Linked DNA regions of Tamandua tetradactyla. The protein of the gene in region 2 interacts with the protein of the main gene of each other region in a pairwise test. Links are inferred from orthologs where the notes say so. Each region holds a gene or a part of one and is shown on either strand. Other genes may lie near its edges.

Region 1 (8,039 bases), about 57 Mb from region 2:
ACGATAGGGCCCGGCACACATAAGCGCTCAATTTGTGGTGGCTGTCAGAATTACAAACATCCCTTCCTATGTAGAACTTAGGAACCAAACAGATACATCCAGATACGATTTTTGAGACAGAACTAGTATCCCTCAGCTCAATAAATGTGAAACAGAGCTGTTTTCCCTCAGATAATTTGTCCCAATTCTCACTAACCAAAATCAGAAACTGAATGGATTCAGATACAGTCTTGGGACAAAGCTAGTATCCCTTAGCCTCCAAACCCTCCATATTTGCTACCCAGACACAGAACCCTTCCTACTGGCCAAGCCAGATACATTTGAAACAGCCGATTTCTCTCATTATCTGACCTCTCCCTATTAAATTATCGAAAAAGCAGCAATTGAATATGTTCAGACAACTTGTTTGCTCTGAACTCTCACTACCCCAAGTCAGGAGCGAATGGATTTACATATATTTTGGAGAAAGAGCTGTTATCCCTCACTCCCTGAACCTTCCTTACTCACCAGGCAAAAGGCAGCAATGAAATATATTTACACAACACGGTACTTCTCACTCTTCAACTCTTGTCACCGGAATTCAGGAAAGTGAATAGATTTGAATATACTTTTGAGTTAGAGCCTCATTATCTGAGCTCTCTCTACTCACCAGGTAAAATGAGGAAACTCAAATACTTTAGACAACATGGCATCATTCATGTCTGAACTATCAGAACTCTCCCTCTCAGAATTCAGGTACCAAATAGTCTGGGAGAGTGAGGGATGCTTGTGTTGTTATTATTAATGGGTTTAGATAAATGAGCTGGGTCTGGTATCCCTCACTTTTCAAACTCTCGCCACTTTCTATGAGAAACACAGAAAAAAAACATAATTGAATAAGACATTCCCCCCAAATTCTCCCTACCCATCCTCAGAATTCAGAAGATTCAGACAGTGACGGATCCTATTGTTGCTGCTGTTGTATTGTTCCTTCTGCATCAGCCTGATTCTAACATCCAGTGAACTCCCGGCCCCACCGTCCCAGACCTGCCCCACAGAGGTGGGGTGGACTTAGCATGAAGATTTTTGTTGTTTACTGCCAAGAGAGGGGGATAAATTCCTGCCCTAATCCTACCCACTCCAAGCCTGGAAGCCTGTAACTTAAAATGGACTTTTTTTTTTTCAGGCCAGTAAGGCAGGGATCGCACACACACCTAGAATCAAGACCAAGGGCTTGAGCAGTTACACGACCAGGAAGACACACATAACCCCAGGTTCATCTTTTACCAACCCCCTCTGACGTGGGGCAGTCCCCAACTTAGCAAGCCTGGAAACATAACCTGGACCGTGCAGACTCCCAGAGAGCCACTGAATAATTTAGGGTGTTCTTTTGCACTTGGGGAGGGCAGGGGGCGTAAGAACAGTTCCATGCCCTCCTGGAACAGAGAGAAAAATGCAAGCTCTGTGTGAGATCACTGGGGTGGGGGTGGGGGTGGGGGTGGGAGGAATCACATACAAAAAACCCTATCAGCCACACTGGCCCTACAAGGCTGTTTGTTTCAGGGAGCTGTGGGTCATGGGGGAGGCAGGGAGAGAATGCCATTCCCCCTCTTGCTAAGAGAAGCATCTGGGATATACCTCAGAGGTCCTAGGAACCGAGGAATCCCCAAGTTCAGGGGCAGGGTATAATGGGATCCCTGCCCTTCTGGGTTCAGAGGGTATGGGAAGGAGGGAGCAGGGTGGAGGGGCATAGTAAGGGGTAGATAATAGGGTCCGGGGTTGTGACAGGATATAGGGACAGGACAGGAAGGTGTGTAGGGGACAAGGCAGAATCAGAGTCATCATAGGACAGAGGTCAGGAGGCAGGCCTGGGAATGAGAAGGACACTGGCCAGGGGATAGGATAGAATGAAGTTCAGGACAGGGGTAAGAGAAAAATCACAAGGGGAGAAAACACCAGGACAGGGCTCCAGGTCTGTGTACAACCTTAGTCAGAAGACTTGATGCGGGACAGGTGAAGACAGTGGTCATAGAAGGGGCTAGGGAAAGGGGCAGGTTCAGGACGGAGGTCAAGAACAGGAAAAGACCAGGGCAGAATGAGGAAAGGAGTAAAGATGGTGATGAAACAAGAGAGGACTGGGAAAATCAGGACAGGATTGGGGGAAGGGACTGACAGGACAGGAGACATTCCAAAGGTGGTAAACCAGCTATTAGGGGAGGGGCCAGGGGGACGGTACAGGGTGGGGAGAAAGCACAGAAGTCAGAGGTCAGGAGTCAGGATACAGCAGAAGCAGACTGAGGTCAGGGGGGTAGAACATGCCCAGAGGGGGTTAGAGACCTGGACAGGGGGTTAGGGAAGAGACAACAGAAACTGAGGTGGATGTTGGGCATCAGGACAAGGCCAGACGAGCTTCAGAGATGAGACAGGGTCACACAAAGACCCGGGTTCAGGCCCAGGATCCCAAGGACAGAACTGGGGTTTGGGGTCAGTGCTAGAGGGTTAAGGGGGAAAAAAAAAAAAAAAAAACAGGTACAAATGATCAAAGCAGGCCAGAACATGGTTAGGTCAGCGATCAGGGCTGGGGTTCTGGGGCCAAGGGTGGCCGAGTTCGAGGTTAGGAAAAGAAATAGCCAGGTCAGGGCATGGGTCAGGAGTGAGGCCACCAGGTCAGAGGTCGCGGGGTGCGCGCCCAGGTACGTCCACCGTCGGTATTTCCAGGCCCTCACCCCGCCCTGTCCCTCCCCTGCCGCCCGGGACCGGGTTATGACTCACCGAGCGTCCTCGCACCGCGACGTCAGCGGGGTCGTGTCAGCCGGGAGGGGTAGTGGGTGCGCCCTTCCCTCGCCGAGCTCCGATCTTACCCGGGCGCGCGCCTATTCCCCTTCCGCGCCCTGCCCGTGGACCGCGTGCCGCCGCGAGACCGTTAGGCGTGGGGGCCAGACGGGGGACGCGAGAAGGGTGGGAGAGAGGCGCCAGACTCCGCGCTGCGGGTGGGGAAGCCCCGCTTGCCACCCTTCAGTTAAGTCTGTGGGCTTCGGCGGCACCACCGCCTCAGCCGCTGAGCGCGAGCCCCGGGAAGAAGGGGGAGGGGGCGGGGCGCAAGACCACAGCCGCGATGGGGCCCAAGTGCGCAAGCGCGAGCTCCGGACTTCAATTTTCCTGCCCTGGGAGCGCCCAGAGCGAACGAGCTGGAAGCGCGTGCGCACGCGCCTTCTCGAGGGCAGCCGCGCCAGCTAAGGAACAGGGCCTAACAGTGCGCGCCCCTGGAGCGCTCTCGTTCCCGGCCCGGGTCCCGCCCCCACCGAGGCCACGCCCCCTCAATGCCCAAACTGGGGCCCCTAACCCCAGGTCACCCTGCCCTCAAACAGCCCCTATAACAGACTTCTAAAACGCTCCCAACTACCCACCATGTCATCCCCAAATGCACCCCCAAACCACCCTCCAGTGACCGCCAAGCTATGCCCAAACCACACTATATTGACCCCAAGCTATATCCCTAAATTGTCCTCCATGGACATCAACATTGCACCCGAATTAATTATCAATGAATCCCCAAACCACACTCCATCAACCCCCAAATCACTACCCATTTGCCTCTGAATTTCAGCCTCAAACCACCATTCATTGCCCCCCCCCCCATTGACCCGCAAGCAGTACCTCCAATCTACCCTCCATGGACATCCAAGCTTCACCCATAAACTACCCTCACTACCTAAGTTGTTCCCCCAAACCATGCTCCATCAACCCTGAAATCATCCAACATTAACCTCCAACAGTAGTTCCAAACTACCCCCATCTATCCCCAATATATGCACCCAAAAACATGCTTCATTATCCCCAAAACCACCTCCCATGTACTCTCCAAACTACCATCCATTGCTCCCCAAGTCACTCACCAAGAGTCCCCAACATCACCCCAAACACTCAACTATCTGCAGTGTGGCCCTCACCTGCCATTCAAATCACTATCCAACAGTAACCTATGATACCTCCAAACCATGCTCCGTGGACCCCCAAACCACCCTCCATTGACCTCTCTTAATTACCTTCCAACAGCCCCCATTACTATCTCAAATACTCCCAACTACTCTTAGGTGTGATCCCAACTGCACTTCAAACCAGCCTCCAACACTCCCTGCACCTCCAAACCACAGTCCACAGACTTAAACTTCACTCCAAACCACTCTCCAACAGTCCCCAATTATACGTCCAAATAGCTATCAACAACGTTGCTGTAGTTATCCAATGAACCCCCAAATCATACTCCAGTGGCCCCAAATGTGTCCCCCAAACCCTCCAATGATTTTTTTAAAATATTTTTATTGAGAAATCTTCACACACATGCACTCCATTCATGCTGTACAATCAATGGCTCACGATGTCATTCATAGTTATGTATTCATCACCATGATCATTTTTTAGAACATTTGCATTACTCCAGAAAAAGAAGAGAGAAAAAACTCATACACACTATATCCCTTACCTCTCCCTCTCATTGACCACTAGTATTTTCATCTACCCAATTTATTTTACCCTTTGTCCCCCTATTATTTATTTATTTATTATCCATATTTTTTTTACTCATCTCTCCATACCCTGGATAAAAGGAGCATCAGACACAAGGTTTTCACAATCCCACCATCACATTGTAAAAGATATATCTTTATGTACAATCACTGCAAGCTAGGGTCTATAGTCAATAAAAACATTGTAATATGCTTCCACTCAATGTAATGAAGACATTATGCCAAAACTAAATGTCAACGGGGGGGGGGGTATGGATTTTTTGTGGAAGAAAAGGAAATGTCTTCATGTAGATTATGGTGGCAAAGGTATGTCTGTACACTTAGGTTGGATTGCATGATGTGTGAATAAAACTGTTTAAAAATGAACAGAGAGAAATAAGTGCTAGAGAAAATGTGGTGAAAGAGATGTACCTATTCACTGTTGGTAGAGAAACTAGAGGTGCAGCCTCTTGGAGGGCAGTGTGGTGGTTCCATAGGAGGCTAGGGGTGAGTTTCCATATGATCCTGCAACCCCGTTACTCAGTATATACCTGGAGAAACTGAGAGTGGGGACACAAATGGGCATTTGCACACTGGTGTTTATGGCAGCAGTGTTCCAGATCCACAATGAATGCAGGTGGCTAGAGGGTAGAACGACTGAGGAATGGAAGGGGGAACTATGGCGTATACATACAACAGACTACTGAGCAGTGGCAAGAAGGAATGAAGTTGTTAGGCATGCAACTAGGTAAATGAACCTTAAGGACTGTATGTTGAATGAAATATCAGAAACAAAAAAACAAATATTGTCAAGCCTCATTCATATGGACTAACTATAATGTAAAAACTTGGTGAACTGAAGTCGGGAGCATGGGTTATCAGGTTGGGGCCTATTGTAAAGGATCCTACATTGTAAGCTCTTACAGCAGTCACATATATTCATGAGTTGTAACTGTTAATTTTAAATTCTGAGATACTGAGCTGTTTGTTTATGACCTGGTCATTTCCAGAAATTTCAGGTATTTATGTGACAGCTGAGACTAAGAGTTAGAGCTCTGAAGCTATGAAAGTCAGCATTACCCCATATAGGAACTGTTTAAAAAATTGAAAAAATGATTAGACATCAAGTAGAGATATGAATGAAACTGATCTGGATAGGACTAAGGAATATTAGAAGACTGGGTAAAGGACGATATCATCCAGATTTAAAAATTTCAACTCCCTGAGTGAGACTGAAGTGAGAAATGATGATTTGGTGCAAAATTTATATTTTGGGTGTGCATTTCCTAATTTAACTTGCATGGTCAGTTTAGTTGAACACCATAAGTACATGGAATCTTGAATAAGGCATGAGATTGTGTTGGCTTGTCCAGATTAGTGTGATGTCCTGATAAATACCAAAGTGATTTGGACAGTTAATAAAGAAGTATTTGCTAAGCCCCCTTGGGGGAATGGGGAGAAAGGGGGAAATATTCACGTTCCCCATTTGGAGAATTTCTGATATTCTCGCAAGCAGTGGGGACAACCAAATCAATAGGCCAAGCCCTCAATCTTGGGGTTCGCCCCTATGAAACTTATCCCTGCTAAGGAAAGGCTAAGCCTACTTAAGATTAGGTCTAACAGTCACGCAGAGAACCTCTTTTGTTGCCCAGATGTGGCCTCTCTCTCTAAGTTGACATGGCAAGCTAACTCACTGCCCTTACCCACTATATGGGACATGACTCCCAGGGGTATAAATCTCCCTGGCCATGTGGGACAGAAATCCCGGGATGAGACAGGACCCAGCATCACGGGTTGATAAAACCTTCTTGACCAAAAGAGGGAAGAGAAAAGTGAGAAAAAATAAAGTCTCAGTGGCTGAGAGATTTCACGCAGTTAAGAGGTTATCCTGGAGATTATTCTTAGGCATTATATAGATATCCCTTTTTAGTTTATGGTGTACTGGAGTGGCTAGAGGAAAGTACCTGAAACTGTAGAGCTATGTTCTAGTAGCCATGTTTCTTGAAGATGATTATATAACAACATAGCTTTTACAATGTGACTGATTGTGAAAATCTTGTGTCTGATGCTCCTTTTATCTACAGTATGGACAGATGAGTAAAAAATGTGGATAAAAAATAAACAAATAATAGGAGGAACAAAGGTTAAAATAAATTGGTTAGATGCAAATATCAGTGGTCAATGACAGGGATGGAACGTATGAGGGTTTTTTCTCTTTTTCTGGAGTGATGCAAATGTTCAAAAAATGATCATGGTGATGAATACACAACTGTGTGATGATAATGTGAGCTATTGATCGTACACCATTCATAGAATGTTCGTATGTCAAGAATGTTTGTATGTTTGTTTGTTGTGTACAATAAAAATATTTTTTTAAAGAAGAATCAAGGCTACTGGAACACAGCTCTAGAGTTTCAGGTGCTTCCCTCTAGCTACTCCAATACACCATAAATTTAAAAGGGGATATCTATATAATGTATAAAAATGGCCTGTAGGAGACTCAGCATCAAGGGACTGAGAAAAACCCTAGAATGAGCTGAGAATTAACATCAAGGGATTGAGAGAACCTTCTCGACCAAAGGGGGAAGAGTGAAATAATACTAAATGTCAGTGGCTGAGAGATTCCAAACAGAGTCGAGAGGTTATCCTGGAGGTTATTCTTATGCATTAAGTAGATATCACCTTGTTGTTCAAGATGTAGTGGAGAGGCTGGAGAGAACTGCCTGAAAAGGTAGAGCTGTGTTCCAGTAGCCATGTTTCTTGATGATGATTGAACAGTGATATAGCTTTCACAATGAGACTCTGTGAATGTGAAAACCTTGTGTCTGATGCTCCTTTTAGCTACTATATCAGCAGAAGAGTAGAACATATGAAATAAAAATAAATAATAGGGGGAACAAATGTTAAAATAAATTTAGTTTGAAATGTTAGTGTTAAATGAAAGCGAGGGGTAAGGGGTATGGTATGTATAATCTTTTTTTCTCTATTGTTTTATTTCTTTTTCTGTTGTCTTTTTATTTCTTTTTCTAAATCGATGCGAATGTTCTAAGAAATGATGAATATGCAACTATGTGATGATATTAAGAATTACTGATTGTATATGTAGAATGGATTGATATCTTAATGTTTTGTTTGTTCATTTTTTTTTAATCAATAAGAAAAAAATAGCCTGCAGGATAACCTCTCAAATCCAAACTCTCTCAGCCACTAAAACTTTATTTTGTCTCATTTCTCTCTTCCCATTTTGGTTAAGAAGGCTTTCTCAATCCCTTGACGCCAGGTCCTGGTTCATCCCAGGATTTTTGTCCCACGTTGCCAGGGAGATTTACACTGCTGGAAGTTATGTCCCACATAGGAGGGAGGGCAGTGAGTTCACCTACCAAATTGGCTTAGAGAGGCCACATCTGAGCAACAAAAGAGATTCTCTGGGCCGCCAATGATTTTAAACTGCACCCAAACCATACTTCAGTGATCCAAATATATCCCAAAACACCCTCCCATGATCTTTTCCTAATATAACTTCATTGACATATAATTTATATATCATAAAATCCA
Region 2 (7,937 bases):
GCAGGCGAAAACCCTGCCACTGGGCCACCGTTGCCCTCTTCACCTCTTTTTAAAAGCTCTGTGTCCCTTTTGGGAAAGAGGAAACTGGAGCACAGAGGGATGGGGTGAAAAGATGACATTCTCTCCTCTCTACCAAGCCAGTGAGGTTTGCTGAGTGGTAAAGACATACTCCTTCTGTAGTTTCCTTCTCAATTGTTATAGCGTCAGCAGATTTTATGGGAGGAGGGATGAGAGAATGAACAGGCTCACTACCCAGAGCAATTTTTGGAGACAATTATGAGACTCCACCAGCTCTGTGTTAGGATCTGCAAGTCAGAGCAAGTTGCCCTTCACTTAGAGGAGGGATTAACTAAACCAATTTCATTTAAATCAATTTGTACTGTTCAGATGATATGTTCATGAAACAACCAAGTCATTGATTTGTGGCAACACTTCCCAGAGGAGGCCTTGCAAGGTACAATATAATAGATGAGAATTCTAGTAGTCATGGAAGTAAATGGGAAGGAAACAATCACCCCTTCATATGGCTAGCCTCTACCCCTACCCTCCATAGTTCCTCCCTTTCCCAATCCTGGAGCTGCAAGTATGAAAGTAGGCCTCAAATAAGCAAGAAGCCAAAACATTGGGCCAAGCCTGGGGCCTCAGTGCAATCAGCACAGGACTCTGCACATTGTAGGTGCTTAATAAATATTGACTCACTGTTGCTAGATACTAACTTATATAGCCATGTCTAAAATTACTTATGCCATTTTTTTTCAGCAGAATTTAAGATAACTTAAAATAATCACCATTACTCTGTACACCTAGTTTTAGTTTTCATTCAGTTGTATGCTTACTGAAAAAAAAAAACAGACTTAAACATAACTACAATCAGAGATTTGGCTCTCAGGGTAGCTGCTATGACAAGCTAAAGTTTCCAGTAAACTAGAGTTTCTGATATTCCTAGTCAATCCACCATTCCAATACAAGGTAAATGAAGTACTTTCTTTGAAAAGTATAATGTTGAGGGTTTATAGAAACCTTTCATCTTCAAAGGACCAAGTCAAGACTCACAATACCCCAGCACACAACTTTATGCCTTTTACACAAGTGCACCGACTATGAAAGAAAGGTCATAGGAATGCCCTAAAGCCATAAGGTCAATGCAACATCAGATTTGGGATGAATTCTCTGATATACTTGGCTCCTAGGCCTGTATTTCAACCACATAAATCAACTTGTGAAGAACAATCAGGAGAAGCCTAATTCATATTATATATCTCTGTTAATGCCAGAGACCCAGGTTCAATCCCTGGAGCCTGTCCAGGCCAAAAAAAAATAGAAAATAAAAATGAAAAAATATATCTCTGTTAAGTGATTGGTCAGGAATACATATATATATATATATATATATATATATATATATATATATCTTTTATATATATATAATAAAATAGCAAAAGTTCTTCCCTCCTCAGAACAGTGATAAGTGAAGAGCAAGTGGAAAGGGGGATATAGTGTTGGGAGAGGTACCCAGCTGGAGTGGAGCAGCAGTGCTTTCAGGGCAGAAAAGAAGTAGGGAGAGGGATTTCCAATTCAGACACCACCACCCCCTTCTATTGGAGCATTGCCAGAGAACTGATTAGAGAACTAGAAGAGGACTCTGTGGGGTTAAAGGCAGCCCTCATGGGTCCAATTTGAGAATCAGACGAATATCAACCAACACACAGCACTTGTCTATTTACACAGCTTCCAATATATTTCTTTTTTAAGGGTCTCTCCCTTTTGTTTTAACCTCAGAAACATAAAACCGTTACTACCCCAACGTCAGAAATACTGAAAATGGCAAAGAGATTGAGAAGCAAAAGGCTGCACAGCTGGGAGGTTACTAGAGTGCACAGGTTGATGGGGAAAGGCTGAGGGGTGGGGTGGGAGCATATGGGAGATTTGAAGTGGGTGGGTAGATGTGCGACAACGTGGAAAGAAGGTGAGTGAGCGTGGTGGGTAGGGGAGTGTGGAAGAGGGAAAGCGAACAACCCAGCGACCATAGAATCCCAATTTCCTGCTCTGAGAAGAAATGCCTCCGAAAAATAATTTCGCGCTGCACACGAAGGGCTAAGTAACCTAAACCTTATCATCAACAAATAATGTTTCTGTAAATCTACTCCACCGCTATTTACTTAATTCTTAGGAGACAGGAATGTTAAAACCCCACGTCTCCCCAGTCAGTCGCAGTCTGTCTTGCGGACATATGTAAGTTTTTCCTCTCCCCGGTAAAGCTGGTTTCACAGCTAGGCCAGAAATAATTAGCCACCCATACAGAGACTAGATGATTGCTCCTCTGGCAGAAGAGGGATTAAGTTTCGCCGGGCCTTCCCACCACCAGGATGTCCTCAGCATTTCGGACTGCTGCGGCAGCCACCGCGGGGCAACCAGCTGTCTGAGGGACGCCGCCGGGGCCGAGGAGGCTGCAGACAGCGGGAGCGTGGGAAGGCGGCTCTGCCCTTTCCCAGACTCGCGCCCAGGCGCCGGAGGCTGCGGGATGGCGGGGTGGGGGCGCTTCACTGCCCGCTCCGGGCCGATCCGGCTGCGCGGGAGGCCTCGGGCCGCCCCCACCCGCACCCGGGAGTGCAAACTCCAGTCCCAGGAGAGCAAGGGCAGGAGCCTGGGCCCCAGCGGTGCAACGGAGAGTCAGGGCCGGGCCGGGGCCGCGCCGCTGCCGTGAGCCTCGCGGGCCGGGTCACCCCGCCCCGCCGAGCATCCGAGCCCTCAGCCCGGGCCGGGCCGGGCCACCGCGGCACCTGAGGCGCGCCAAGAGCCCGGGAGCTCTGCGCAGGCGGCGGCGCTCCACCCCTGGGGCCGCGGCGAGGGGGCGCATTTTACCCATAGCTTTGCCAGGTGCCAGCCATCTCCTCGGCGCCACTGAGGGCGCTCGGCGCTCGCCTCCCTCCGCAGCGAGCTGGCTCCGGCTTCGGCCCAAGTCCCTGGCCGCTGCCGCCACTGCTCTAGGCCGCCGCCCGCCTTCGCCGCCTTCGCCAATGCCGCCGCCGCTGCCGCGCAGCAGCCGAGATCCGCCCGCCCCGCGCGCCCCGCCCGTGACAGCACGGCGGCCGCGACGCTGCAGCGGTTGGGTCTCCCAAGCCAAAGTTAAAGAGTTTTCGCCCCCTCAGCCCACAGGCAGCACCATGACACCACGGCAGCACCACACTGTCATTTCCGCCGCCGCAGAGGGAAAAAAAAAGGCAATCCCTTCGAAAAGGGGGGTAGAGTGCGGGCAAACAGGGTTGGGCTGACGCCCGGAGGGAGGTCTGGGAAGAACCTGGCAGGAGGGCCGCTCAGCCACCTTCCCGGGCTCACCTTCCTCCGCCCCTGCCGCTCCCAGCTTCCCCAGCCCCTCCTCTGGAGGCACGTTTACATGTTTTCTCCCCTGGCAGGAGTGACCGGAGAAACCTGAGCAAGGAAAGGCAGCGGGGTGGGTGGGGTTCGGGTTACTACTGTACCTACCAGCTGATTCCAGCAGCCTTTTCTCCAGCGCCCTGTCATCTTGAAGGAAGACACACCGAGAGGGGCCCAAGCAGGCGCGTGTGCGTGTGTGTGTGTGTGTGTGTGTGTGTGTGTGTGTGTGTGTGTGTATGAGAGAGAGAGAGAGAGAGAGAGAAAGCGCAGAATGTGTGAGGAATATAAAAAGAAGACTATGGCCAAACTCTTCTCCTACCCACCACCACCCTGGACCCACAAACACCCAGATCAGAACAAGAAAAAGGATGTTGCAATAGGCATTAAGAAGAAAGTGCCTGGGTCCAACCGCATAGGTTCTCGGGTGAAGCCACCCTTTGCAAAGTTAACTATAGAGTAAAACAAAAATAGTGGAGGAGACAGAAAAGGGCAGACAATTGAAGGAAACCCAACCCCTCTTTCTTTTTACAAAGGGAGAATGGCTGTTTTATTGGCCTTGGGCAGAAGTTGTGGGGATGGATTAAAGAAAGCCACCAGAGCAAATAAAATAAAGTAGGGTTGCTTTTTGTTTGTGAGTGTTTTTTTTTTTGCACCTTCAAATCCTTGACCATCAAAACAAGAGTTTACAAGGGGACAGATGCCAGCTCTTCAAGTATTCAATATCCTTGATAAGCTAATTGGCCCACCTGGAAGCCAGGGCATCCCGTTGGTCTGGAGTCAGATTCTCTACTATCATTGGCTCAGCTGCCTCACTCACGGCATAGATGGAAGAGGGAAAGAGTAGGAGGCCACAAAAAACTTGGTCTTAACATGGGAGAAAATGGAGAAAGAAAGGAGCAAATGAGAGTTAATATGCACAAACACACACACACACAGAGACTTCTCATTACTATGCATGGGAACAAGTCCAGAAAAATTAACTTAGCTCTGGGTGTATCCATCACGGAACCAATAGTAATCAGCCAACACCCCTGTTAAACAATGTACTAGAGAGTACTGAGGTGGAAACAAGACAAAAATCACAGCCAAGCTATCCTGATGAAAGTCTGGCCCAAGAGAAGTAAAAGTTGAGTCAGACTAAAGCAAAAAATGCTTACTTGGTACAAAATTTATATTTTGACTACTGCAGTTCCTAATATAACTTATGTGAACAACTTAATTGAACACCATAAGTACATAGAACCTTGAGTAGGGCATAAGATTTTGTAGGTTTGTCCAGAGTGATGCCCCAATAAATCCCAGAGTGATTTGAACACTGAGTAAAAAGTATTTTCAAAGTCCCCTTGGAGGAATGGTGAGAAAGGAGGAAAATTCAACTTCCCCAAGTGGAGAGTTCTTGATATTCTCACAAGCAGTGGGGAAAACCAAAGCAATAGGCTGAGCCCCCAATCTTGGGGTTTGTTCATATGAAACTTAACCCCAAATAGGAAAAGCCAAGCCTACTTAAAATTAGGCCTAAGAGTCACCCTCAAGAAAACCTCTTTCGTTGGTCAGATGTGGCCTCTCTCTCCAGTCAACATAACAAGCAAACTCACGGCCCTTCCCTTGGCTACATGGGACATGACTCCCAGGGGTGTGGACCTTCTTGGCAACGTGGGGCAGAAATCCTAAAATGAGCGGAGACTCAGCATCAAGGGATTGAGAAAACCTTCTTGACCAAAAAGGGGGAAGAGTGAAATGAGACAAAATAAAGTGTCAATGGCTGAGAGATTCCAAACAGAGTCTATGCATTAAATAGATATCACCTTGTTAGTCAAGATGTAATGGAGAGGCTGGAGGGAACTGCCTGAAAATGTAGAGTTGTGTTCCAGTAGCCATGTTTCTTGAAGATGATTGTATAATGATATAGCTTTCACAATGTGACTGTGTGATTGTGAAAACCTTGTGTCTGATGCTCCTTTTATCTACCTTATCAACAGATAAGTAAAATATACAGAATAAAAATGAATAATTTTTATTTTCATTAGGGGGAACAAATGTTAAAATAAATTTAGCAGATTGAAATGCTAGTGATCAATGATATAGCTTTCACAATGTGACTGTGTGATTGTGAAAACCTTGTGTCTGATGCTCCTTTTATCTACCTTATCAACAGATGAGTAAAACATATGGAATAAAAATAAATAATAGGGGGAACAAATGTTAAAATAAGTTTAGATTGAAATGCTAGTGATCAGTGAAAAGGAGGGGTAAGGGGTATGGTATGTATGAATTTTTTCTGTTGTCTTTTTATTTCTTTTTCTGAATCAATGTAAATGTTCTAAGAAATGATCATGATGATGAATATGCAACTATGTGATGATACTGTGAATTATGAATATATATTTTAAATGGAATGATCATAAGTTAAGAATGTTTGTGTTTCTTTGTTATATATTTTTAAAAACTTAAAAATTAATAAAAGATTTTTAAAAAGAATGTGTTTGTTTCTTGTTATATATATGTTTATATTTGTGTTCTAGTTTGCTAGCTGCCAGAATGCAATATACCAGAAATGGGATGGCTTTTTAAAAAGGGGAATTTAAAAAGTTACAAGTTTACAGTTCTGAGGCCATGAAAATGCCCCAATTAAAGCAAGTCTATAGACATGTCCAATCCAAGGCATCCAGGGAAAGATACCTTGATTCAAAAAGGCCAATGAAATTCAGGGTTTCTCTCTCAAATGGAAGGGGATATGGCAAACATGGTCATGGTTTCTCTCCCATCTGGAAAGGCACATGGCAAGCATGGCATCATCTGCTAGCTTCCTCCGCAGGTTTCCTGGTTCATGAAGCTCCCCATGAGGCATTTTTCTTCTTCATCTCCAAAAGTTGCTGGCTGGTGGACTCTCTGCTTTGTGGTTCTGTGGTATTTTGCTGTGGCTTTCCTGTGGCTGTCATCATTCTCTGCTCTCTCAGAATCTCCTCTTTTATAGGATTCCAGTAAATTACTCAAGACCCACATAGAATGGGTGGAGACACATCTCCATCTAATCAAGTTTAATACCCACAGTTGATTGAGTTACATCTCCATGGAGATGACCTAATCAAGTTTCCAACCTATAGTACTGAATAGGGATTAGAAGAAACCATTGTTCTCACAAGATTGATTAGGATTAAGACATGGCTTTTCTAGGGTACATAAATCCTTTCAAATCTGCACAATATGTATATATAAAACAATCTCTGAGATACTGTTAAATGAAAAAAGGAAAGTGCAGATCTATGCATGGTTTGCTACTAGTGTAAAAAGAAAGGGGGGTAGATATGTCCCTGTATACTTGTATATGCATAGACTCTTCTACAAAGGTACTTAAGAAACTGAATGACTGGTTGCCTGGGGGATCAAGCATAGGAGGGAGAAATACTTTACATTATATATGTCCTTTTGTATTGTTTGAATTTTTTTATACTGTGCATGTATTACCTTTTCAAAAAATTAAATAGAAGAAGGAGATATATAGAACAAATACAGATTATCCTATCTATGCAAAAATATTCTTATATGTGCAGGTAAATGCATAGAAAATAACCTGGGGGCACACTATAAACAGTGTGAGCCTGGAATTGGGGTGGGTGTTGAGAGGTCTTTCACTTTTTATTCAATATATTTTGTAACCATTTGAATATTCTACAATAAGAATTTATTCATGTATCCCTTTTGTAGTTTTTTTAAAATCAAGAAAAAGGTATTTCTCAAAAAAAAATGTTGAACCCAAAGTTGAGTCAGAAGTCAATTGATTCCTGTGAATTATTTTTCAACCTCATTTGATCTGATCTCCCACAGAAAGGTGGTGAATTTTCTAAAATATAAAGAAGTTACAGCTTTTCTTATGGACAATACTCACCACCACAGCCACCACTCCCCTCCATATACACACACAAGAAAGCTAGATAGCTCCTGGCAGAACTGGTAGTAGAGAAGATTTGCTTTTAATGGCTTTTATTGTCCTATAGAAACCACCCTACCCCTCACTTTTTAGCAGTCTCCCCTCCATCTGGGCTTCCACTGCTTTCAAGCAAGTCTCGGCTTACCAGAGCTCTATACTGATACCCTAACTCCATCTACTTTCCCCAGGCAACAATCTATATTCGGAACCTTTCCTTTCCCTCTTCAAAATTTACCTGCTTCTGTGTCCCTTTCACACAGGATCTTACTAAGTGGTTAAGCAATTCAATCAACTAATGTGAACTAAGATGCTTATAGTTCATTCATTCCCCCTTAGAAAATATTCAGATTTTAACAGAGGCCTTCAATGTAGTAAATCAAAGGAATGACTAATAGTATAGGGGGGGTGGAAGGGGGTGGGGAGGTTTTGCTAATCACATCACATAAGCCGCTGCTTTGAAAATATCCCCACTTTCAGTGGTTTTATGAAAATTACACACTGTAAACTTATTAAAGTAAATGTTTTGTATCTGGCAGGAGATGCAAAATTGGCTGGGAGTACGTGGAAAAATTATTTGTTTATAATTATTTAATGGTTACCTTTGTATGTAACATATTTTGATCCTACTAACAAA

Evidence for each region.
Region 1: the proteins of MID2 (region 2) and CCDC120 interact in binary tests that used the Homo sapiens proteins (3 or more experiments, as listed by UniProt). The link is inferred for Tamandua tetradactyla from reciprocal best matches to the Homo sapiens genes MID2 and CCDC120.

What each region holds. Positions count from the first base shown.
Region 1 is NC_135353.1:121,100,564-121,108,602, forward strand, and holds the start of CCDC120 (coiled-coil domain-containing protein 120), read right to left. Parts: upstream 3,077-8,039; 5' UTR 2,752-3,076; intron 1,424-2,751; exon of another isoform or gene 1-1,423. UniProt on the Homo sapiens protein: Centriolar protein required for centriole subdistal appendage assembly and microtubule anchoring in interphase cells. Together with CCDC68, cooperate with subdistal appendage components ODF2, NIN and CEP170 for hierarchical subdistal appendage assembly.
Region 2 is NC_135353.1:63,688,333-63,696,269, forward strand, and holds the start of MID2 (putative E3 ubiquitin-protein ligase MID2), read right to left. Parts: upstream 3,041-7,937; 5' UTR 2,867-3,040; coding exon 2,863-2,866; intron 1-2,862. UniProt on the Homo sapiens protein: E3 ubiquitin ligase that plays a role in microtubule stabilization. Mediates the 'Lys-48'-linked polyubiquitination of LRRK2 to drive its localization to microtubules and its proteasomal degradation in neurons.